3 linked regions of the Drosophila melanogaster genome follow. Changing the gene in region 2 together with the main gene of any one other region gives a genetic interaction. Each region holds a gene or a part of one and is shown on either strand. Other genes may lie near its edges.

Region 1 (7,719 bases), on a different chromosome or scaffold from region 2:
AGAACATGCGGTATATGCTCTATCCGTACAATCCCGAAACACCCGTGCACTTCGGATTCAAGTTCAAGCCCTTCGTGAAGCAGGGCTACATGTCCGGCGGAGCGGGCTACATACTCAGTCGGGAGGCCCTGCGTCGCTTCGTGGTCGAGGGCATTCCGAATCCCAAGATGTGCCTGCCGGGCACGGTGGTCAACGAGGACATCGAAATCGGGCGATGCATGGAGAACCTGAACGTCACCGCCGGCGATTCCAGGGACGAAATCGGTCGCGGTCGCATGTTTCCCTTCATACCGGAGCATCACTTGATCCCAGCCAAGGCGGATAAAAACTTTTGGTACTGGAACTACCTTTACTACAAGACGGATGACGTAAGTTTCGCCTGATAAGGGATAGGTATTCTTAACATCTTGTGTTCCGACAGGGTCTCGACTGCTGCTCGGACTTGGCCATCTCCTTTCACTACGTAGCTCCGAATTCCTTCTATGTCCTGGACTATCTCATCTACCACTTGAAACCCTACGGCCTACTGCGATCCCTGGAGCCTCTGCCCGCCAAACTCAAAGTGGGTCAGTTTCTGCCGCCTCCCGTGGAGGCCAGGGGGCGCCTGGCCAGTAACGAGGATTCCGCCGATGATTACGACAGGATCTATACGACCACGACCGAAAAGCCAAAGGAGCCCGATGCTCGGGAAATGGACTCCAAGGAGGTGGAAAAAGAGGATGCCAAATACAGGGAAAAGCTTTCAAAGGAGGACGAGGAACGCGAAGACTCGCGAAAAACTGACAATGATTCGGAGTATACTGAGGAGGAAACGGAAAAGCGTTCCAAGTCCAAGGAAACATCGAAAGAAAATTAAAATTTATTGAGTTTACTTGGCAGGCTTTGGAACTGAGCTGTTTCTGAGTCTACGCCGCTCATCCGGTTTATACATTTTAATAAAAATTTTCTTAGATTATTATTTTAGAAGGACTATTTTCAAATACATCATAATAAAGATAAAGTAAATGCAGTAATGGGAATGGTCAGATGTCAGTTCTTTAAAAAAATTAGTTGATTCAATTCCATGCTAAGTTGGGAGATAATCGATTAGCCAAAGGCTCGGAATTTTAAAATCCTAAACTGATCCTTTGGATTCGTAGGAGATTCCAGTCACCACATGGATATGCTTTTTCGGAAGTTGCATTTTAATAAATAACTAATTTTAAACATTAAAACTGCACTGCACGCACATACAAGACAACATTGCGTATACGTGATTATGAGTTACATTTTTAGGATCAGTACGTAGAAAGCAAATATTTTGAGGGGATTTATGTTTCAAAACATAGGATTGTGTTTTAATGCAATATGAATGATTATTAAACTGTAACATAATAAAACTAATATTCTATTTATAATAATTATATTATGCTTGCATTTTGTACATTGAGTTTCAAGGAAAATGGATTTCGTAATCAATTAGTAAACTAATATATTTCCAATAATTATATTATTAAATTATATTTCATTTGTATAGTTCGCAGCAAAATGGCCTATTGCACCTTTTGACCTTTTTGCACCTTCGGGCGTAAGTTTCTATCTTGCGATTACTGAATTTCGTATTAATAAGACATCTTTGGTCGAAATGATATGCAATTTGAATGCGATTAAAGATCTATTCCTGACATGAGACCAATAATAATGCCCATTAGCTAAATGAGCACATTGATGTCTCTATACATTTGTTTTTTAGAAAACTGTGTTCTGAATGCTCACTGAGTACTTTCGTACGCTCTCAGGGTGCGCTTCGTCACTACGTGAACGGGCGTCTACATCGATTAGATGATAAGTGAGGAAGACTGGAATGCCTAGATCGACTTGGCTAGTTATCCGGCTAAAAGCAAAAAATGAAGAGTGGCCCATGAGGGGATCGAACCCGCGACCTTCGCGTTATTAGCACGACGCTCTAACCAACTGAGCTAATGGGCCTTCGTGAGAGCGGCGTTCTGGGTTATCAATTTGGATTGGGGGTGCTTCTCTAAACACTCATATCGCTACTTATTTAAAGTCCGAATAAAGTGGATGTTATCTATGTATATACTGATTACCTTTTTGTATTCCAGCCTATTGGGTTATAAACAAATAGAAATATGTGTGAATATAAAATATAAAACAATTCGATTACAATTTTCAATTTCTTGGAAAGCGTGTTGCATGTTTTTTTATTCTTATCAGCAAAAAAGAAATGTAATAAGAAAGCCTGCTGAGACCACTTATTGCAATATCAGTCTTCGGCAAGTAGTCTTCTGAATCGGACAATGGAGTGCCACTAGACCATAGGAGTGCTTCTCCTGAGCTGGTTGGTTTGTGGCCACGCCTGTTATTATCCAAAACGATGTTTGGCCAACGATGGGAGTGCACCAAACCGGCGATTGGCATCGACCGACTAATGTATTCTGTGGACCCACTTAAGTGTGTTGTGAAATAAGGGCTCAAGTAAGTGAAATAAGAGCTCAAGTAAGTGCACTACAGGTTCACAGAGTTTGTACGCAGCTTGTATCCATTCTACCCCTACTACACCAGATGGAGAATCCGTCCCTGTCCTCGTTCTTTGGAGGAGGTTCCCTGATTGCCCCTGAGGTTGTACTAACGGCAGCCCACCTGTTGTTGTCTATACCTGGAGTCTACATTTGCATTTAAAAATGACATACAGCCCATCTGCTTACCTCTTCAAGGGTCGTCCATTGAGCAGACACACTGTGTGATTTCCGGATGGGGAAAGCGTTCTTTTAACGACTCTCAAATGTCGAGTATACAAAAGCAAATCGAGTTACCCATAGTAAACAAAGGAGATTGCCAGAATATGTTGAGGAAAACCAGGTTTCAGCTTGCCACCAGTCTCATATGTGTCAGCGGACAGAAGGACAAGGATGTCTGCGTTGGTGACGGTGGGTCCATCTTGGTTTGTTCCCCTGACGCAATCTTCGCTAGATATCACCAGGTCGGGATCGTGGCCTGGGGCGTCGATTGCGGCAGGCCAAACGTTTCCTCGACCTTCAAAAATGTGTCCATGTTCAGGAAGTGGATTGATCGCAACTTTCCAAGCAACTCGGTGGAACCGCTTAGGAACTGTATTCCTATCCACCCAAGAATTTCGTCCTATAAAATGAGATACATGTTGCTTTAAATCACCAAACTTAGCTAATGTAATTACATATATTGTATCAAATATATGTATTTATGAAATTAAATTATCAAACGGAGTCGATTTTAACCACCTGCTGAACTTCAGGTTAAATTATTTTTAAATTGAAGCTTAAGTCTTGGGTATAAATATTTATCAACTAAATTGTTATTTTTTGGTCGAGGAATGTCATAATATTGGGTGCAAGAGTTTTTTCTCTTAGACTACCATTCTGCTGATTGAAAGTATAATATATATCATTAGTCAAATGCAGTATGAGATATTTACCCCAGGAAATAAGCACATTTGTTTGATTTGTTCTTGTGTTCATTTCATTTCTTCATTTTCATTACAGTGACCTTATTAAGATTTTAATTTTTTATCCGTCTACAATTAGTCTTATTGTTGCTGGTTTTATATTTTCTTAACCAAAATAGTGGAGGCTAGTCAATGCTATACAAACTTGTCACGAAAACTTAAGTTCCTTTAAATCTGGTAAGTGCACCTTAACCGCCAAAATTTCAAACTCACCGAAAATGTTAAGCCACAAGTACTCAATAGGCCGATTGTCAGCATCGATGGCGGCATCGATGTTTCCCCACCGCGAACAGAGTGGCTGGCCACACTGGCGCTCAGCTGGCGCTCAGCTGGCGCAGTTGTTGTTATTCTTGCATTTCTACAGCGCGAGGTCCGAATTTTCGAGCGCAGCGCGGCCACAATTTTCCGGGCGTTAGTTAACCGAGACGACTAGTTTAATTAGCGGAATTGTGCGACGACGTCGTGGTTGAAATTCAATTTGAACGCCCAGGCGGTAGATCGGTAAAATCGCGACATCAAAGCACGAGAGTGAGTGAAAAGAGAACCCTGGAAAGTGGTCAATGTGTGTGTATTTGGCGAGCAGTGGCGGAGCACTGAAAAAACCAGTTAGCTGGCAGTGAAAGAGATTCAATAACGTGTTGGTGGGCAAAAGAAGAACAAATTGTTTCGAGTGTGCGAGGCGACGACGACGACATCCAACTGGTCCGGTACGAAGAAGTCCGCTTTCCTCGCTCATTAGCGGCGCTTTCCTCGGGCCCACGATCTGGAAGTCTGGAAATCGGCGATACCTAAAACCGGGCCATAGCCACCACTATCATTATCAACAAATTGATATACATATGCAATTGCAGCAGCGCGTCATCAGCACAGCGCCCATCGCCTAGCAGGTGCGTTCCGTACCGTCCGTCACTTTCGACATTATATTGGTCTGATCGGGTTTCTCTCTCTCTCTGGTGCGTGGTATCTTCTATGTATATACTATAACTATGCATACTATATATGCTCCGTAACAACACACTGCATTGTCTTTCGGGAATTGTTAACACCCCGCCCCGGTGGTGGAGCATCTTTGGCATCCATTCAGTCGGTTGCCCATTCATTTGCCTAACAGACTCTTTTCTGCGCCAACCGACGAACAAGTAAAGTGAAAGGCGGCGGCACGCGTTTTCCCATCTTTTGTATTGAATTTCGCTTCGGCAGCGAGGAAAGCGAAATCGTTCTTAGTCATCAGGACGTGTGGTGAGAGGAGGAGGGTGGGCCAAATCAACATGCAACCGCCTGGCAACAGGCAATGCGTCACAAAAAAACAAGGAATTTCAATTTCCAAGCTGGGATTACTAGTTAACTAAAGCAGACTGTAGTGCAGGGGAAGGTGGTGTTACCGGGGTAGAAATTGAAGGAAATCAAAGGCGATCGATAAAATAATAATATCGATAAACAACATTTGATGAGACGAAAGAAAAGATTCGTGGTTCAAGTTGTTTTACTTTCAGCCAGGCATTTTTAAAAACTTGGATGCATTTAAAACCGGCAAGACAGGCCAAAACGCTGTTGACCCACGGACCTTATCGATTTTTGCAGCTGCTGGGCGGCTAATCATTGGTTTTGTGGCGTGACAAGTGTTTCGGCACCACACCCACTGTCTGTATGTCAGAGGAAAAAAGCGTAAGCGGAAGTGATTTCATAGACCGAAACTCACCCCGAAAACTGAAACGCTGAAAGGGGCATTTCCGTGCTTTGTGGCCATTGCCTGCCCCAAGTCGCTAGTTCATTTTCCGCTATTATGTTGAGGTTAGGACTTTCCAAATCCATGTGATTTCCCAGGGTGCCGGCTTCTGTGCGTCGTCGCAAAAATATGCTGCACTTCGGGGGTGCAAACAGCATGCTTTTCGTTTTCGTTGAAGTTTCACGGCCGAATTGATTTTTCCAGCCTAGACATTACAAAATGCCTCGCCGAAGTGGCGATAATAAAGCGCCTTTTCAGTTTTGCAGCCAGCACGCACATCGGGGCATTTATTACCGCTTTTCCGTTTTCCCTCTTACAAAACTGTGAAGTTAATGCGGCCAGCACGTGGGTCTACGCACTGAGTTTTCCGTTCCTCAGTTTTCATCTGGCCAAGCACTTCTCAGCTGGCCGCCGAAAAGAAAGGGGCAACGAAAGACGCAACCATGACCAAAGAAACTCAAAACTCCAAACTTGAGCAATTTGTAGGCAAATTAAGGTGTTAACTAACCGTGAAGTTGGTCAGTGGGAAACCCATCGAAGATGCTCTAGCTTAAAGCTCATACAGAGCAATAAACAAGTGTTTCTTTGAAGATCTTCGATCTGCTCTTATAATCTTAGATAAGAAACTAGCAAAGTTGAACTTAACTGAGGCAGATAAGTATCTCTAGGTTTAACGAGTTATGATTTCTGGCATATTTCTCGCTGTGTATTTTCGGCAGACGAGCAGCTCGGAAATTGTTTGATCGATTCGATTCCTTCGTCCGCTTCCGCTCCGCCGCTATCGGCTGTTGCCTTTTACCCGCCCATTCGCCACTTGCTAACAGTTGTTTTCGTACGTGAGCAGCGCTCGGATAGGCAGATACTCCCCGTCAGATACACAAGATAGCTTCCTCTTCTGCCTGGATGCGATGCACTGTGTCCGCTCCGCGCTCTCCGTTCTCCAGCTCACCAAGCGGAAGCAACTCCATTTATGTAAATTGCTTGCGTGACATTTCAATGCGACGGGGCGCTTTATGAAAAGCTGGAGCGGCATGGTCCGAGCGGGATGAGCGGTGGCTGGGAATAATGGGTTGAAGAATCGTGGGTCTGGTCTGGTCTGGTAGCTAGGGCTGCCACGGGCTGCTCCGTCATGCCAACAGTTGGCAATCAGTTTAACTGTGCTTTTTATGGCCGTACTTTGCGCTTTTTATGCGCACTCATTGCCGCACATGTGCAATATTACTGCACTAACGTTTTTGCAATCAGTATCAGATGTACTCGGAACTGGTGTGAATGAATCTGCATGTTTTCCATCTGCGTGATGTTTCTACTCCGCTTTAATTATCCACAGTTCCTCAGTCGTTTCATATCATTAATACATGATTGGGCACAGCGATCAATCTTTTTGCACACTAAATACTTGTCTTTGCCTACAATCAGAAGTAATAGAAAGATCGGATTTTATTGTTTATCAGATACAAAAACTGGCGCTTATGTACATATATCTACAATTATTGTTTTTTTTTGCCACTTCCAGTTTTAATTATCCCGAATTTCCGCTCCGATTTCATCACCCGTAATTTGTGAACTGATGAAAACAATACAGCCTTCGGATTAACATATTTTGGAGAAACGTTACAAAGAGATAAAATTCATATTTGAGTTTAGATTGTCGGGCGGCGTAAACTTGGCCCAAAACAAACATTGCCACGGCTTTTCGGCTATAATTCGTTTGCTTAATTTGCTTTTTCGAGCTCGCAGTTCAGCGAGGTGAAACGGTTAAATGTTTTCAAAACTGCCCCAATGTTTTCCCTTCGCCATACGTAGATACTTAGATACATATGTATATACATACTTGACGTTGCGTGTGGTGCTCATTGTTGTTTGGCTGTGCATTATGCTAACTAGACCCTAATGTCGGTGCCCGGGTGTTTTGAGTGCTCCACATTAGTAGTTTTTGTGGAATATGCCCCATAAAGGGCCATTCGATATGTTTCAGCCAGGGCTGCGAGTTCATTGCACTGGATCATCGAATCGTGGAGCAACGACTCTGGTTCGGGACCATGCCAAATGCAAAATGTCAGCAATTTATGAATAATGTAGTGAGAAACACAGGAATCGCAGAAAACGTGATCGGAAAATGCCACAAAAACAGTGCATAAATAATACCAACATATAATTGGGCAGGGCGAAGCGACATTTAAGCTTTCGCTTCGCCCACAGTCCATCTGAATTATCTGTGGAAATAGCAAATTGGATACTTGTTTATATTAGCAGTGGGTCGGGTCTTCGTTCGCCAACTACAATCTTCGGTTTGTTTGTAATTTAGACTAACCGCTCGATGTCACTGTTTATTTATGCATTAGCATCACGACACAGGGAGATATTTTTATATATTGTCTTTCTAAGGTTTCAAGCTCGAATAAGCGATTATTACCTACAACACTGATTAAAATGTCATAAATATAAAGGCAAAACTTAAGTGATTTATATTAGTATACATAATATATGAATGTCAAAACTGATGGCTGTT
Region 2 (7,880 bases):
TTCCAGTCAGTTGCAATTGATTCAGTCGGTTGAAGAGCAGGGCCAGTTCGCGTGCAGATGCCAGCGCCTGTTTCCTGCTGGCGGCGTTGCTAAACAGCCCACCGGACCGCCGTGACAGCACCCGACCCAGCCAGAGGCGATGGAAAAGAAAACGAAGGAACTGCCACGTGGTCTGCAAGTAACACTCCAAGCGCGACGCCGGTAGACTTAATCCAAACATATGCAGACAGTTGAGGTAACCGGCGTAGGCCTGAGACGACTGTCCTTGGCTAAAATAGAAGTCAGCCCGCTGCCTGTGCTGGCAGTAGGCGTCCGTTTGCGCGTCCAGCTGCGGATCACCGTAAACCAGCAATTTCACCAAGCATCCAAGCATCAGTGTGAAGTTCAATAGCCATATCCAGGAACTCTGCTGCCAGACAGCAAAACCTTCACCTAAATCAAGGAGAAACCCATTAGCAATATTTAACAACATCTGGATGCTAGGCTAGCTACCTTCCACGTCGTAAGAGAGAATGCGTCTTTGACCGCTCATGTCGCCAAGATCGTCATTACTGTCATAGTGGCCGCGCTGGAGAAAGGTCTTGAAGGGATTGACGGCCAGGATGGCGAACATAAACATGCAGAGTCCGAGGCGAGAGTGGGTGGCCATGCCGCGCATAGAGCTGGGCACCACCAGTGGTTCTTCATTGCTGCTGCTGCTGCCACTGCTACAGCTGGCGGTGGATCCACCATAGGGTGATGGCGGCAACGAGATGTCCGAGTGCATGGGCGAGAGCGAAGGATCCGATTCATCGCTGCGTGGCGGCGTCAGTCCGGCATCCGTGGTAAAGGTCTGCGAGCTCTCGCGGCGCTTCTTGGATGCTCTACCAGGCCGAGTGCCCAGCTGAAGTAAATCCTTCACCTTGGAGCCGTCGCGTGCCATTAGCTCCCTCTGCAGGCGCTGCAACTCTGCCTTCAGATCGTGATTCTGGCGTTGCAGATCCCGAATCTTGTCTATGGATTTCCGCAACACTGCGGACTTGTTCAGCTTGGCCTGCTCTCCCACTACCAAGTTCTTCAACTCGTTAATCTTGTCGTTGATTGAGGTGCGATAGCGCCGCTCGATGGCGTTGTGGGCCGAGCGCTTTACTTCCTTCACCTTGGGTTGAACCCGGTTGATAGGTACCTTGCCCTGGACTTCCATAGCGGCAGGTGACGGAGCCAGTGGTGCCACTCGCACCTTGCTGGCCCGACTACCTGTGCTTGTCGGTGGTGGAGCCACAGGTGGAGATGGGGTTGGACTGGCTACCGTGGGCTGCAAGAGGAAGTACATGGCTTCATCGGAAGTCATTCCGGCCTTAGAGTTGTACGTAATGAAGGGTTGCGGATACGACTGCTGGGGCAAAGGAGCAGAAGCGGGAGCAGGAGTTGCAGCAACGGGCTGCATGACATTGACATTCTGGTTCGCAGACTCCACCGGCGACGTGGGCGGGGACATGGACTGGTAGACAAAGCTACTGCCCAGAGATGGGGGATACACCGCCGTGTTCGGCGGCATCCGCTGGGCGTCCATGTGATGTATGGTGGCTGTTGGTTGGGCGGCCTTCAAAAGGCCCGTCGGCTGTTGCTGGGGACAATTGTAGCTTGTGGCTATGAGGGGATCTGGTTTGTAGACGAGAAGCGGCGACTGTTGTTGCTGCTGATGCAGTTCCTCCTTGATGTGCACTGGCGAAGAGTGCTCGCTTTTCACGTGCGGCTGTTGCTCGACGGATTGCGGCTGCTGATCCACGGACTGCGTCTGCTGGGTATGCGTTCGAGGCTCGTCCAGCAGCATGTTGTACATCTGCGTCGGCGCCAGGTCCATGTCGTTGAGGATGATGTCCAGCATGTCCGAGTGCAGGTCGGCGTCGAACGGTTCGAAGACATCCTCCGCTTTGAACAAATCCATGGACTCGTCCAGCGGAGCGTCTATTAAGTTCATCAGTGTCGTGTCCATTGCGAATGCTGCTGATGAAAGGGACAAAAACGGTTCGTAATTAAATACTGGCGGGCCCACGTATGTGCATATTTATGTATGTATGTTTGTACATTTGAGGATTGTTTATTAAAGTTCTATGCGGCGCAATAACAACAGTGGGACAAGTATGTTGGTGCCGGAAAAAACAAATATTAATATGTTTATAATCACATTAATTCATTTAATTACCCTTTTTCCACAGTGGCCACTTGCAGCTTTAATAACAGATTAAAAGGGGTTTTTATAATTAAATTTGTAATATACGTAACAAAGTTAAAATAAATCTTTTAATTGTACTCAAACCTAAAGTGAATCACAGTCGGACCTGAAAATGGCATATGTGTTAACTTGTTTTTGTTTGTTTGTTGTTTGCTCGTAGTTAAAATAGGAACAAAATATAATATCTTGAGATCATTTTGGCTATATCAAGTTTTGCTAGACTAATGCAAATTGCAATAGAGGCGAATATTTTTAAACGGTCTAAGCTTTTACTTCGCTTTTGGCCCACTGTGCACTGCACACACACATACGCGACCGGGAAAGCATGCGTAAGCGCTTTCAACCAATCAGAGGGCTCGACCGGATCATACGATGTTTTTAGTGACGCCACTTGGCCTTTGGGAGCTCCAACAGGGCATTTTCCCAGGCTCCACTGGTTTCCCGATCTGATTTCCGCGAAAATTAATCTATTAGACACTATCTACATTATTAGCAGAAAAAGAAACGCACCTTTACCACCTTCTATCTGTTTTCTTAGTTCACGTGTGCTTTTGTTTTTCCATAACTGGTTAATGTCAACGCACTTTGCTTTAAACTAGCGACTAGTTAGTAATAGTTGCAACACTTGTTGTTCATGGTTGTTTTGATTTTTTTCACGAGTATATTTGCAGCTTAATAAACAATTGCTTTCGATTGCAGTAAACTTTGTTCTTCAGGGATGACGAGCAGTAGTTCGGGCCTAAGGAACTGGTTCAGGTCTTGACTCCCTGGCATCAAGAAACAGCTGTATTACTTACAATGCCTGTATAGAAATATATATATTTAATAGTTTATGATGTATTTTATAAAACTGCCATAAAATATCAACGCTGATTCTGACACGCAGAGTAAGGAAATAAATTCAACATGTATAAGTGTAATTTAAAATATGCGGTTGTCCTCGCTGAGCGTGGTGGATGTCACCGCTACCTACATTCAAGAGAATAATTAAGAGAGCGCCAGAGCCGTGTGACCGCGCTAGAATTACTTAAAAATACCAAGGAATGTTGAAGACAAAAAGTTCCGGTAAATTGGCACAACGCACTGGCCACACTGCTACATCACATATTCAAAATCGGGTAGGTAGTCGCGACGGAAAACGGGAAACGCGGACGAATCGCGGAGCCAGAGAAGCGGTAAATTCGAAATAACCGTTTGGAAAGAGCAACATGATGAGGTTCTTTATTCGTTTTTAGTAAAATGGTACAAAGTGAATATGTGATTTAATTGATAACCAGCATGGGCGCCGTCAGTGTTAATTGCGTTCTGAATTGCTCTTTCGAAAACGCAGACACAAATGCACACACACAAAGTAGCGGCACCCACACGATCGCAATGGCAAAAGTGCTGCAGTGATAAAACAAATGCACAGCCATAAAGGCAAAGTCGGAAAAGTTTCACAATGCACTGGCGGCCCATGCATAAAAATGTACAATTTGGCGCTCTTTGCACTTGTCACGTCGTTGGAAAAGCAAAAAAACCTACCAACCAACAACAATAGGAACATAAACTGAAACAAAAAGAAAACCATTTTTGCTTCGCGCTTTTGTTTTTGTTTGGACCGCCGCTCACGCACTTTCGCGCTCACACGCAGAAACTTTTTGCATTTGTTTTCTTCACCCGTTGCATTATCACAACAACTGATCTCCTCTGCCCTCTCTCTGATGCTCTTGCTCACACTTGTTCGCTCTGTCTCGCCAGGGTTGCCATTTTCGACCGACAAACTTGCACTTGCTACTATGAATAACCTTTAAAACGGTTTTATTTTGGCACAATCTTAGGATTTATTTACGATTTTTGCGATTTACCGCATTTGCTGTCTGCAACAGTTTACATTTTTGTTTACCTTTACGGTCGCCAATTGGAAATACTAACTGCAAATTTGGTTGCCTTAAGTGTAGGTGTATTGTTTTCAATATAGACGAAGCTTATTTATATCAAATGCCTATTATTTAAATTAAACTGAAAACATTCAACCAACGGTCATCAGGAAAAGTATCTTAAGAGGACTATTTCACTACTAAATCCTATTTTTTATATTTCTACTTCACCTTAGCTTATCAAAATCTTTATAAATCCGATTGTATGTATGATGCAGCATAATTTTATTATTCTCGGTAATATATGGATATGCTTCAAATCCAAATATACAGACTTTATTTATTCAATAAATTAGTTTAACCTAATGTTAAACTAAATATAAAATAACTAAAATTAGTTTAACCTAATGTTAAACTAAATATATTACCGAACGCTGTGATTATGACTCTGTTATTTACCAACTGTCTTGCAACTTGGAAATATTCCTGTATTAATCATTTCCTATTTTCCTTGATACAAAAGAGCCTTTATTTCACTGCAATATTGAGTCATCCAACAAGCTGTTGTTGTAGATTTGGTCCGATTTTTCTATTTCTTCTTCTGACTGTTCTCATACTCTCTGTGCTTCTGTTTCTCCGGCTTTCTGCATAAATTACATTTTCCGTTTGGACTTTGCCAGTTTTGCTAGTGTTAGCACCTCCTTGGCGAAAAGTTTCCAACGGAAATTGTCAGCAGAAAATGAAAAACTCCCATGTAAATACTCCGCAAACGCACACACGCACGAGCTCAGCGGAATACACACCAATACACACGCACACACTAGCAGCGGCAGCGCTTAATAAAGATTAACGCATTTCTTATCAAGCGGTGATAGCGGGCAAAGAAGATGGAGAGAGCCGAAGCGAGACAGAGCACTAGCACTGCGACAGCATTTGAGCTTCGCTTTTCGCACACCCGATAGAGCGGCATAGAGTGGGAAAGGGATGGAGACAGAAGGAGACAGTGATATCTTTTCTCTGCCTGATTAGCAGTAGCAGCGTCTAGTTTTTCTCGTGTTATTTATTTGTTTTCTGCTCTCCGCCGCCGCTCCCGTTGCCTCTCCCTCACAGCAGCCGCCTTCGAACGCCGACGCTGCCTGCTTTATTTTCGCGCCGCTGCTGATAAAATAAAGAACAATATTAATTTAAGTTTAAAAATAGAATTCGCTGCAGATGCCCATTGCATGAATGTGTGCGAGCGGGAGAACGAGAGAACTGATTTCGCTCTCCCGCTCTCTTACAGCACACACATGTTGATCCGCAGCGGCAGCGTCAATTACTGTTCTCATATCATCTCCGAGAGCACGGAAATCAGTGATGGCAAGTGAGAGGAGCAAATCTTTGGCGGATAGCAAAAACCGCTAAGTGTGTGGCAGTCAACGCTACTTTTCTTAGTATAGTACTTAGTTATACCTTTTATCGTGCAATTTTTAAATGAGGACTATGTTTTTCCAAAATGTATCTGCTCAATATAATTTGACTATTTATCTTTTAATCCATTTAAACCTAGTTTTAAAAATTTTAAAAAAGTGTTGATAATATATCTTGATGGATATCTTTCGGATATCCTACACTGAGCGAAACTAAAATTGTTTGATAAAGCGTCCTCATATGCCTACCTTAACACAGTGAAAAAAGCCAAAGTGCCATCTCTGGGAGCATGCGGTGTCGCTCGCCCGATTTTCGTTTGGGGCTTTCAGTATTATTCTATTCTCCTGCGCCCCAAGTTGTTTTTTCGGATCGGCAAAGCCGCGTGCGCCCCATCGCACTCTCGCACACACACATACGCACTCACAGAAAAAGATATTATGCATACATATGTATGTTTAATATATATATTTCTCTGATTGGATTGGGGCAAAAACAAAACCCAAAGAGTGCGAAAAAGGTGAAAAAAGTAAAAAGCCGAATAGAATTTCGAATAAAATCCAGTGCGGTTTGTGTTAATAATTATTATTGAATGAAAAACAAATTCCGACAAATGTGTTAACAAGAGTGTTCGCAGCCGCAGCGCCATAAATTTTACAACAATACGGGGAAAAAATCGAAAAAATAACGAAAACTGGAATTTGTGATAATTGTTTTTCGGGCCAGTCAGCGAGAGGGAGAGCAGTGCAAAGATAACAGATTTGTTTTGTTTCCCTGATAAGCCACTCTACTGATACAGCGGTGTAATTTTGGACACTCGAACCTTGTCATATTAACTTGCTTATTTGACTATAAATTCCGAAAATAATACTCAAACACTTAGAATTTGAACAGTTCGGCATTCGATTGTTCTTCCAGATTCTTCGCAGTAATCTTGTTCGCTCTTTGCGCTTTAAGAACCAGAACCCAATACAATGCATTTCTCTCTTCTTTTTGATTGCTCTTTAAGCGTGCATTGTTGTGAAATTTACCGCTACAAACATTAGTTAGTTATTCACTCTCTCCCACTAGCTCTCTGCCCATATGCAAACACAACAAAAACAACGCGAAATTTAAATGTATATTAACCACAATATTTCCCATCCGAAGAGAGAACGCGAGTAAATAGCAACCGGAATAACAAAAAGCACAAAGTGAACAATCGTTAAACAACCAAAAAGCAAGCCAATTAGAAAAATAAACACTGCACAAAAATCCAACAAAAAACAGGAGAATAGAAAGGAAAACGCCGTGATCGTGAAAAACAAAAAACTTTATCTAACTGTAAATCCAAACGCCAACGTGGGAGGCATCCGAAGCGAAAACATCGGATGAGCAGGCAGAAAAGAGAGGGAAGAACGATCTCTGGCAAAAGCTGATGACAAAACGAGCAGTCAACCTGTAAGTTAGCCTCATATCTTTGTCAAGAAAGATTATAACGATCTCGCGGAACTGAAATGACCAGTAAATATGTATATGCATACATATACATGTGTATATAGTTGTTAAATAAATTTCGAAACCACTAGAAACACAACTAAAATAGTTACACATTTTGTTTTAAAATGATCACATGATCATATTTTTTGGTTACCGCTGAAAAAGTTTACTTAATCTCCGGCAGTTTTGCTTTCAATTTATTTGCCAAAAACCAATACTTTTTGGTAATCCGTAATGCGAGCTATTTCCGATTTAAATAATTACCCCGATGCGTGTGTGGTGTCAGTGGGAAAGCCACTTGCATTGAAACCGAAACTCTTGGGTTACCTCAGCTGGGACCCAAGCTCCCCTTCAGATTTTCCCGCAATTTTCCTGCTTTTCCCATACCCCTAACGAATGAGAGAGTTCGATAAAAGTTGGCCACCAAAATGCCGGCAATGAACCGCAACAAGTTGGCTTTTCCCATCGTTGTTCTGTTAAAAGTCGGTGGGGAAGTGCTCAAATTGCTGATGTGGCTTCAGGCGTTTTCCCCCAGGCCTCTACGTACATACATAGCCTTCGGGGAGTCTTTTCTAAACAATTTCATTTGCGTTTTCTGGTCGAACTAAATTTTTATGGTGTGGAAAAGAAAAATTGAAATTGAGAAAAAATCAAATCTTGAACGTACTGCATTTTTTGGGTGTTTCGTTTGTTTACATTATTCTCGGTTTGCTAATGAAATTGAAATGTTCGATCTCTGAAAGCGTTCTATTAATAAAGATTGTGTATTTATAGGAAGGCGCTCGCTATTTGCACAGGAGTGTATGCGCTAGTGGGGTGGTGGGTGGGTCGTAATTGACAGCTTCCTCGAGACCTTACAGCATATTATTTTTGGCAACTGGCAGAAACGCAGAATGCCCACAACTTGCACGTTGAATCGT
Region 3 (7,887 bases), on a different chromosome or scaffold from region 2:
TGCAATAAAAAACACGTTCTAATTGCATTTCACAAGACAAGAAAATTCGGCTTATCTACGTGTTGCGATGCATCATTTTGTCGCGTTGCATTATAGGGTATTGGCCGATTTAGCCACTCCGAGTTCCCAACTTTAATGCTCCGCCTCGAATCGAAAACTTTCGTCTCTGGTATCTTGTCGCCATCTATTTTTAAATGCTTGCCTCATAGCCTTGCCTCTCCCCATTGACTCCCAGATTCCACCAGTTCTTTCCTTACAGAAATGCATACGTCAGCCAGGGAAAATAGATTCCGGATCCGCAGAAATGAATCGCCCGGTCTGGGCATCTAAGGATCCCTCCCGACCAGGTCAAATGCGGCTGCCCCAGTGACTAATGGCAATGGAAGCCTGGCATCTGGCAATGCCAATTTGACAAAGCCAACACTCGGCGATATCGCCAATCAGCGTTTCATATACAGTTCCACAAATAGGAAGGGAAAAGCGAGCCAGACACTTCACTCGCACCTCGCACCTCGCACATCTCGCATAAACAGTTTTAAGTGTGCCAGTTGTCTCTGCCCCCGCGGCCCCGCCTCCTTATCGAGTCCCCGCCCCTTGGTCAATGTCTGAACTTGAGCTCAAGTGGGTGAGGGGGGGTGTAGGGTTGGTGGGTTGGTGTATTAGACAGCCCCAGCGTAATATTTAAACAAATGCTCGCATGACGCTTCCCGTGAAACTGCATGTGATCGCTGTGCGAATGTTTTCGGTACACAGGAAAAGAGGTTGGGCTATATACAAATGTTACATATTTTACTTGCAAAAAAAAAAAAAAAAAAACATTTTATTCGGCAAGTGAAACTTGATTGAAGGTATTAGCTTATATTGAAATCAACTGATCCACGCCTTTTCAACTTAAAGGCCATTTCCCAGCGATTCAATAAGGCCAGCAGAATGAGGCAGATACACAAACAGCCAGGCAGCCAAGCAGCCGGTCACATGTGTGATCGGGGGTACAACATCTTGTGTCCATATGTTGCACAAACAAACAGAAACCGTGAAGCCACGGAAACAAGAAAACCAGAAAACCGAAAAACAAGGAGAACTGAAAACCGAAGGGAATGTGCCAACGAACGCATCTTCAGACCAATGAAAAACAAAGAAAACATAATCCGAAAAGCTGAAAAAGAAACCAAAACGATACGGGCGAGTCAAAAAAGCTGCGAAATGATATTTTCTCATCTGTTGGCTGCCGTTTTGTGCTTTAATTTTTTTTTTTTTTTTTTTCTTATTCGCTTTGCAGTTGTGTTGTTGATGATGCAAATATTTTGACAGTTTGTTTGACAGATATCGGGGCACACAACGGGGCGTGATGTGATGAGCGATATACAAGCCAAGGGCCAAGAAGGGTGGGGGGTGAGGGATCGGATACCCTTGGAAAGCCGGAAAAGGGCCATCGAATGAGGACCCATCTGTCGATGTAAACAGAGCAGCACAATTCGCTTGCCAGGCGAATATCAGTTTGAAGCATCAGAAGTTGCCATATGCAGTGAGTTGTACTTTGCGCTTCAGACTTTCAAGAAACACTATGGAATCAGTGGCGAGTTGCACAGTTTGCCAAAAAGAAAGGAATGGTGACATAACGTATGGTGTTTAAACTGATTATTGATAGCTAGCATATGTGCTTTTCAGTCAAGTTCAGCTATCAATTTAAAAACGAATAAAACCCAAGATAAACGATATCGAATGCCCCAAGGGGCACCGTGCCACCTGATCGTATGCGCAATGTCCGATGACCGGCAATACGCATACGCCGGATGGGCAAAAGCGGAGGATGGAGCTATCGTGCTGCAGCAGTGACCTCGTTTGCAGTCCGATTTGCAGTGGTTCCTTCTTCAAAGTGTGGCTCCCATTCCCGTCCCACTCCCAGTCCCAGTCCCACCGATAAGCCCTGAGCAGGCGACATAGCCCCCGTATGTATGTATGTGTACATGTGTTCGAATTTGGCCTCATTTACGCAACTTCCGATGTGATAAAAAGTGTGAGCGCTGCAGCAAAACAAATCGAATGGAAACGACATGCTCGACAAAATCAAGCAGAGTACCAGAATTGTCCAGCAGGTACTGCCGTCCGTTCACAAAAGCCATTGAAACATTCACAAACGTTCAGTGATTTTAAATGTTAATTAAAGAAATTATTTCATTGCAAGCAAATGTCTGTGGGCAACATGTCATTAACACGCTGATAACGCGCTATCATCAAAGCTCATTATGGTGGAAAACATACACACACACACTCGCACACACACACACAGCGACCCCTCCCTCCTTCAGGCACAAAGATAGAATTTGGAACTGAAACAATCGACTTCTCATAATAATTGGCAAAGCCATCCGAACACAATCGCATCAAATTCAAAAGCCAGCATCTGAACTCGATCCGAATTTGTGAAAAGAAATTAATTCAGCGTCTGTTTTTTCGAGAGAGTGATAACCTGCGATGATGACCCCGGCCCAATGGACTTGGTGATCTATTTTTTTGGCCTCTGCTCAACTCGAAATCCGGTCCTTAACATTGTCCGTAACCGAGCTCCGAAACCCTGAAGCCTCGAAGCCCGGCTCAACTTCCTAATTTGATGGCGAGTGGAGGAAAACTATTTTCCAAACCACTTACAATAAATACATTTTTATGCTAATCACTGGTGGCGCTCGTTTTGTGTCTGTCTGTCCCGCCTATTGGGAAAAAAAAACAATACTCGTATGTGTGTCATGCTAAATAGTTCAAGTTCGTCGCGGAACCCAGAGTTGTGTCATCCGGAATAAGAGATCATTGGGTTACCGATCTCGAATGGGATGTGCATCAGCTGATGGGCAATGGTCATGTGAATGGTAAGCGGCTGTTAGGATCATGTCACCGAATAGAACTAATCAAATTGTTAACTGCATTCCTGGGCCTCAAATAGCAATGTAATAATTATAATACTACATATCCCAACAAGAGGGTCGAACTCACCTTGGCATTGGTCAGCAGCGGTGCGTGGCAGGCGGCGAGGACGAAGGTCACGGCAAGGAGGCGCAGGAGCAACGATCCTCCCGCTTGACCTCTCCGCCCGCTTCTGATTCCGACCGAGGTCGCGATCGCGGACGCTTGGGATCCCGGCGATCCCATCATCTCTTTTCCGGGTAACGGCGGTTTTGGTTTCTTTTGGCAGCTATTTAGGTTTGGCTTAGGTACTTTGTGAAGGCAGTTTCGGTTCGTTTTGTTTAGTTTGGCTTTAAACGGCTGGCAGGTTGTGGTTACGGCTATGGCACTGCACGGAGAAAAAAAGCCCCAGACATTAATTCGCAATTGAGCAACAATTAAGCGTTAGACAGAGACAGAGATAGAGAGCATCCTGATATTATGTTTCTGGGGATTTTTTTCTCCGCGCACGGAAAAAGGGGAAGCAAATCGGTGATTTGACATCAGCAAAATTTTTTGGCTTTGGTGAAACCAAATCCGAATTAAAAACCAGAGAAACCGTCATGTTTCAGAAGTTTCTTCGAAAAATCCGAATGATCCCCTTTGATCATCTGTTCGCTCCTGGACGAGCCGATATTTGTTTCCCCTCTTTCTGTTCGCTTTTCCGCCTTTTCGCTTTATTTTCTTGTTTCATTCCTTATTCTTTAGTTTCGTTTCACACGCGATGGACACTATTCGTATTCGTTGCGAGTATGGGTTCCTTTTTGGGATCACACTAGTTAATGAATGAAAAAAAAGGAGCAGGGCTTGGGTTTTTGTTTAAACGTTGAACCGATATCACCAGGATATCTTGTCGGGGATTTTCAAAATTTCGGCACTTCGAGGATGTGAGAGCACTCAAAAAAAAAAAAAGACAAACGCTCCCCACAAGAGAGTCAGAGTCACACAGAAAACAAAGGGACAGCACACCGTGGAATGTGCGACCGCCTGGAACGATGGCGCGCAACCTAATGTCTAAGAACCGTTGCTGCGATTCCCATCGCTGCCTCTGCTCTGCCGGCGTCGCCCGAAGACGCACGAAGGCCGAAAGCGCGACGGAGCCGAAGCGATTTGCGTGCTCTTGTTATTGTTTAACGGCGCTTAATGGCCATTGCAAGCCTGTTGCGTCGATGCACCGCACTCTCTCTCTCCCTTACCCTCTCCCTCTATCCCTCTCTCGCTCACATGCGTGGGTGTCCGCTTACGCAGAGTTAGCTGCGCCTGCTCTCTCTCCTCTCGCTCTGCCTGTCCATCCTTATTTGCGGAGCGTAGTCGCGATTTAGCCAGTCGGCTAAAGCAGCATTTAAGGCCGTAACGATAGAAAAAAAAAAGTAACTATCACTTTAGTTGGATAGTAAGCCCCCCCTCCCCCATTTTTTTTTACTCAACACCCGCCCAAGTGGCTCTCGCTCTCTGGGTCAACTGATAAACAAGTGAAAACCGTTGCTCCTTGCTCTCTTTTCACCTTTCGTTGTTGCTGCGGCAGCCGGTTTGCAAATTATCCCACTCACTCCCACGAAAAGCGGCGCTCTCCTCGCACATTTTTTTATTGAAGTTCTTTGAATTTGACACTCAAAAAAAAAGGAGAGTCCAATAAAATGCTGATGCAATTCGCGTAGGAAAGCCAAACACCAGTGAAAACGTATTTGAAACACGAACTTTATAGCCTTTACTCGCTGTTCCTACGAATATTAGTGTTTATGGACAATTAATTCTTGGCGCACCTAAAACATACATACAACCATGTGAGCAAATCATCTTAAATGTGCAGTCATCGGTCTAAAATTGATGCAAAGCACTATTTTAAATATTCAACACAATACAAGTTTGGCAGGACGGACATCCATGTGATATTAGCATTTCGGGCTCGTCGGCTTTGGCGGTTAAGTCGGTTTGTCAACTGGCCATAGGACCGGCCACAATCCGTGACCTTCAGCCGATTTAGCCACCACCCCCCCCCCCCCTGTCAACACCACCAAAAAGGCGGCTTCCCATTGGCGCCTGACCCAATGACATCCGAAAATGACGCATGCGTGAGGGTGAATTACCGGACTTGGATGCCGACGCCCCACATGGAGGACCAATGGACACGTTGCGATTTTTTAGGGCCCCATCTCCTGGAATAATTGGCCCATTCCTCAGGTTCGTTTCCCTGTTCCTCCCCTTTTTCGCCTTTGCTAATGTAAAATATATTTAATATTTAAATGGTGAACGCTCACAAGTGGCCACAGCTTCCGTTCGCAGATAAGAAAAGGTACTAAAAATACACGCAGAAAATTGTTGAATACGCTATTGAAAATAATGGCAATGGTCTGTATACACTTGGAGAAATTAGCTAGATAGACACCAAATACACAAATACGTGCTTAATATTGAGCTTTGCCTAGGTGTTAAGTTTATAAATTAGTGATAAGATAACATTATAAATTTTAGTAAAATTGTGCACAAATTCATTTCAATGTTTTATTGGTCGCAGTGCGATTCTTGAACATATTTTCTTCAATTGAAAAGCAATGACATCTGTTCGACTTTCGTAGCACTTGTTTTTTCAACTGCTCAAATCATTTAATATTTAGACATGTGTGCACTCTCGAGCATTTCATTCAATTTAGGGAGTCAAATGTTATCACATCAAAATTGGAGCAAGTGCTGAAACAATTAGAATTATCAACCTAAGTCCGTAACCTATAAAGGTTATCAACGGTGAGAAAAACCAAAAAACAAAAAAAAAAAAAAAATATTTTTAATTTACCGAACTCACCACAGTCGTCGAGTGGTGAGTACACGATTCTGTTAGCCACATTTGCAATCGAAAGCTAGCTACAGTTTGAGAGCCATTGCACAAAAGCTTTTAGCCAAGTCAACAAAAAAGCTTTCCTAAAGCGTTTGCCACCAAAAGTATAAGTTTTTAACTGAATAAAATTCAATTATTAAAGAACAAGCTGTTTCAATTTAATCACACATTAAGAGTTTATGAAATAGGTGACTTACAGGATCTCATCTACTTGTCAAATTGGTTGTCAAATGTGGCCACACGGACAATCCAGAAAATGACATTTTTTTGAAGTGCTTAATAATAGATTTAAGGGTTATTTTCCATTTGTCCATATATCCTTTTGACAACAATGAAGATATCCCTGTCCCATTTACATTCCGCCCTCGTTTTTTGCACTCACTTTTACATTTTCCGAGCACATTTTTGGTTTCCGTTACCGACTTTCGACTTTCACACTAAATACTCGCCTTTCCCATTTTCTGGCCCAGTCACGTGTTTCGCAATGGCAACTTGTTTACTTTTGCATACGTAAAGGCCTGGGTAAAATGTGCTAGTGAATTAGACGAGGACGATATTTTGTAATTGAAAACTAATTGTTGCCATGAATGATTTCAAGCCACAGAGCTGCTTTCTATTTTTGCATCCGGTAAAAATAGCCTTTACGCCTGTTTAATTATTTTCTACAATTGAACAGGAAATACACAGCGAAACAGCTTATTGGGGTAAAGTTTGCAAAAAATATAACTCATACGCCCAGTGTAACAGGTCAAGTTGTGTTCAACATGGCGTATGAGCGATATTCCAAGGTTTCCATTGTTCAAAAGAAGAACGCTGCCATTCAGGAAAATCTAACATCTAGTGACTCGTAAATGATTGCTAGCAGAATTACGTATGTGTAAAAACTATGAAACCATAAGTGTGTATAGTTTATTTTATTTTACTTATTTATTTATTTTTTTTTTTTTTGTGTTTCTTGCGCACCTGCAGCTGACATTCCAGCCCAAGTTCTAGGACAGTGCGAAGCTATCTTTGCCAATCAACAAGCTTCCCAACTCGCAAAATCGACTGCCGTACACATAGATATATGTACAATGTACGTTTAAATCGAATTTCAAGGAAAGTCGGTTACGCGAAAACCCAACGAACAGTTCTGTTCCCCCGTAAAGCCCAACAAGTGGCAGGTAACAAGTTGAAAACTGCAGTTTGCATAAGATGGATGGAACCAACCTTCGGTGTTAGTGGTGTGGGAAAGGAGCTGGTTAGCATCTGGGAGGCAGCATCCCATGTCCATAATTTCAAACCGATTGTTGTGCAATTGCCGGGCAGTCTGCGTGTGGATGGTGTGTGTGTGTGTGTGTGTCCTGCTGCGGAAAAGGTCTCACCGGGCTCGTCTGTTGAGTTACCAAGGCAGTTGCTAATTGTTTGGCCGGCTTTCACTCAGTTTTTGGCAAGCCCTTTTTGGTCGAAGCTTTTAGCTTAATTGAGCCAGCCGCTCATCAATACGCATCTGAGAGTACATTGTGGCATTGAAATTTAATTTCGGTTTCAATTCGCATTTCGCATTAATTAAATTGATCTCCTTCTGTGCGAATTTTTTGGGGGCGGGCAGAAAGTCGCAACAAGACTGCCAAAAGGTCGGCGGCGAAAGTTGAAAGCCTAGGAGAGGAGGATTTGCAGATAACACAAGTAGTCAGGTTCCATGAGGGGTTGGGTCAATTCGACAATTAAACGTCGTCTGGAAATGATTTGGGACAAAATCTTCCATGAGGAAGTTCATGGTCATTCCACCCACCGTTCTACTTGCCACCTGTCTCTTGAGATGGACATAATCCCGATCCCTGATCCGCTCGTCGCAGTCTGATCTAATAAAAAACCATAGAAGACGTCGGATTTGCCATCAAAGGCGGCACTACTTAATTAATTAATTTATCTGCACGGCTTTGTTTTTGGTGGTGGAAACATTGCTACTTTGGTTTTACAAACGCATTGCACCAATTAGTTTAGTTCAATTAGTTTCCCAACTTCGAGGCGAGTTTTAAACGCAAGTAAAGATAAAAGATTAAAACTGTTAGAAAAGGAGAAAAACAAAGCCAAACCAAAGAAGGCCGTTGCTCTTTTTTTCTGCCTCTTTTTTT

Evidence for each region. Genes that interact genetically often act in the same process or in processes that back each other up.
Region 1: of Gyc76C (region 2) and kermit, changing one enhances a phenotype caused by changing the other (phenotypic enhancement), as found in Drosophila melanogaster (one study listed by BioGRID).
Region 3: of Gyc76C (region 2) and trol, changing one suppresses a phenotype caused by changing the other (phenotypic suppression), as found in Drosophila melanogaster (one study listed by BioGRID).

The regions. Positions count from the first base shown.
Region 1 is NT_033778.4:8,152,704-8,160,422, reverse strand, and holds the start of kermit (kermit), read left to right. Parts: upstream 1-3,768; 5' UTR 3,769-4,009; exon of another isoform or gene 4,010-4,368; intron 4,369-7,719. Other genes in the region: CG8708 (uncharacterized protein), read left to right, coding at 1-368, 422-856.
Region 2 is NT_037436.4:19,789,005-19,796,884, reverse strand, and holds the start of Gyc76C (guanylyl cyclase at 76C), read left to right. Parts: upstream 1-3,315; 5' UTR 3,316-3,457; intron 3,458-5,274; exon of another isoform or gene 5,275-5,437; intron 5,438-5,843; exon of another isoform or gene 5,844-6,001; intron 6,002-6,630; 5' UTR 6,631-6,921; intron 6,922-7,880. Other genes in the region: SREBP (sterol regulatory element binding protein), read right to left, coding at 1-432, 493-1,975. UniProt on the Drosophila melanogaster protein: Guanylate cyclase involved in the production of the second messenger cGMP.
Region 3 is NC_004354.4:2,541,477-2,549,363, forward strand, and holds the start of trol (terribly reduced optic lobes), read right to left. Parts: upstream 3,952-7,887; 5' UTR 3,907-3,951; intron 3,433-3,906; exon of another isoform or gene 3,287-3,432; 5' UTR 3,148-3,286; coding exon 2,989-3,147; intron 1-2,988.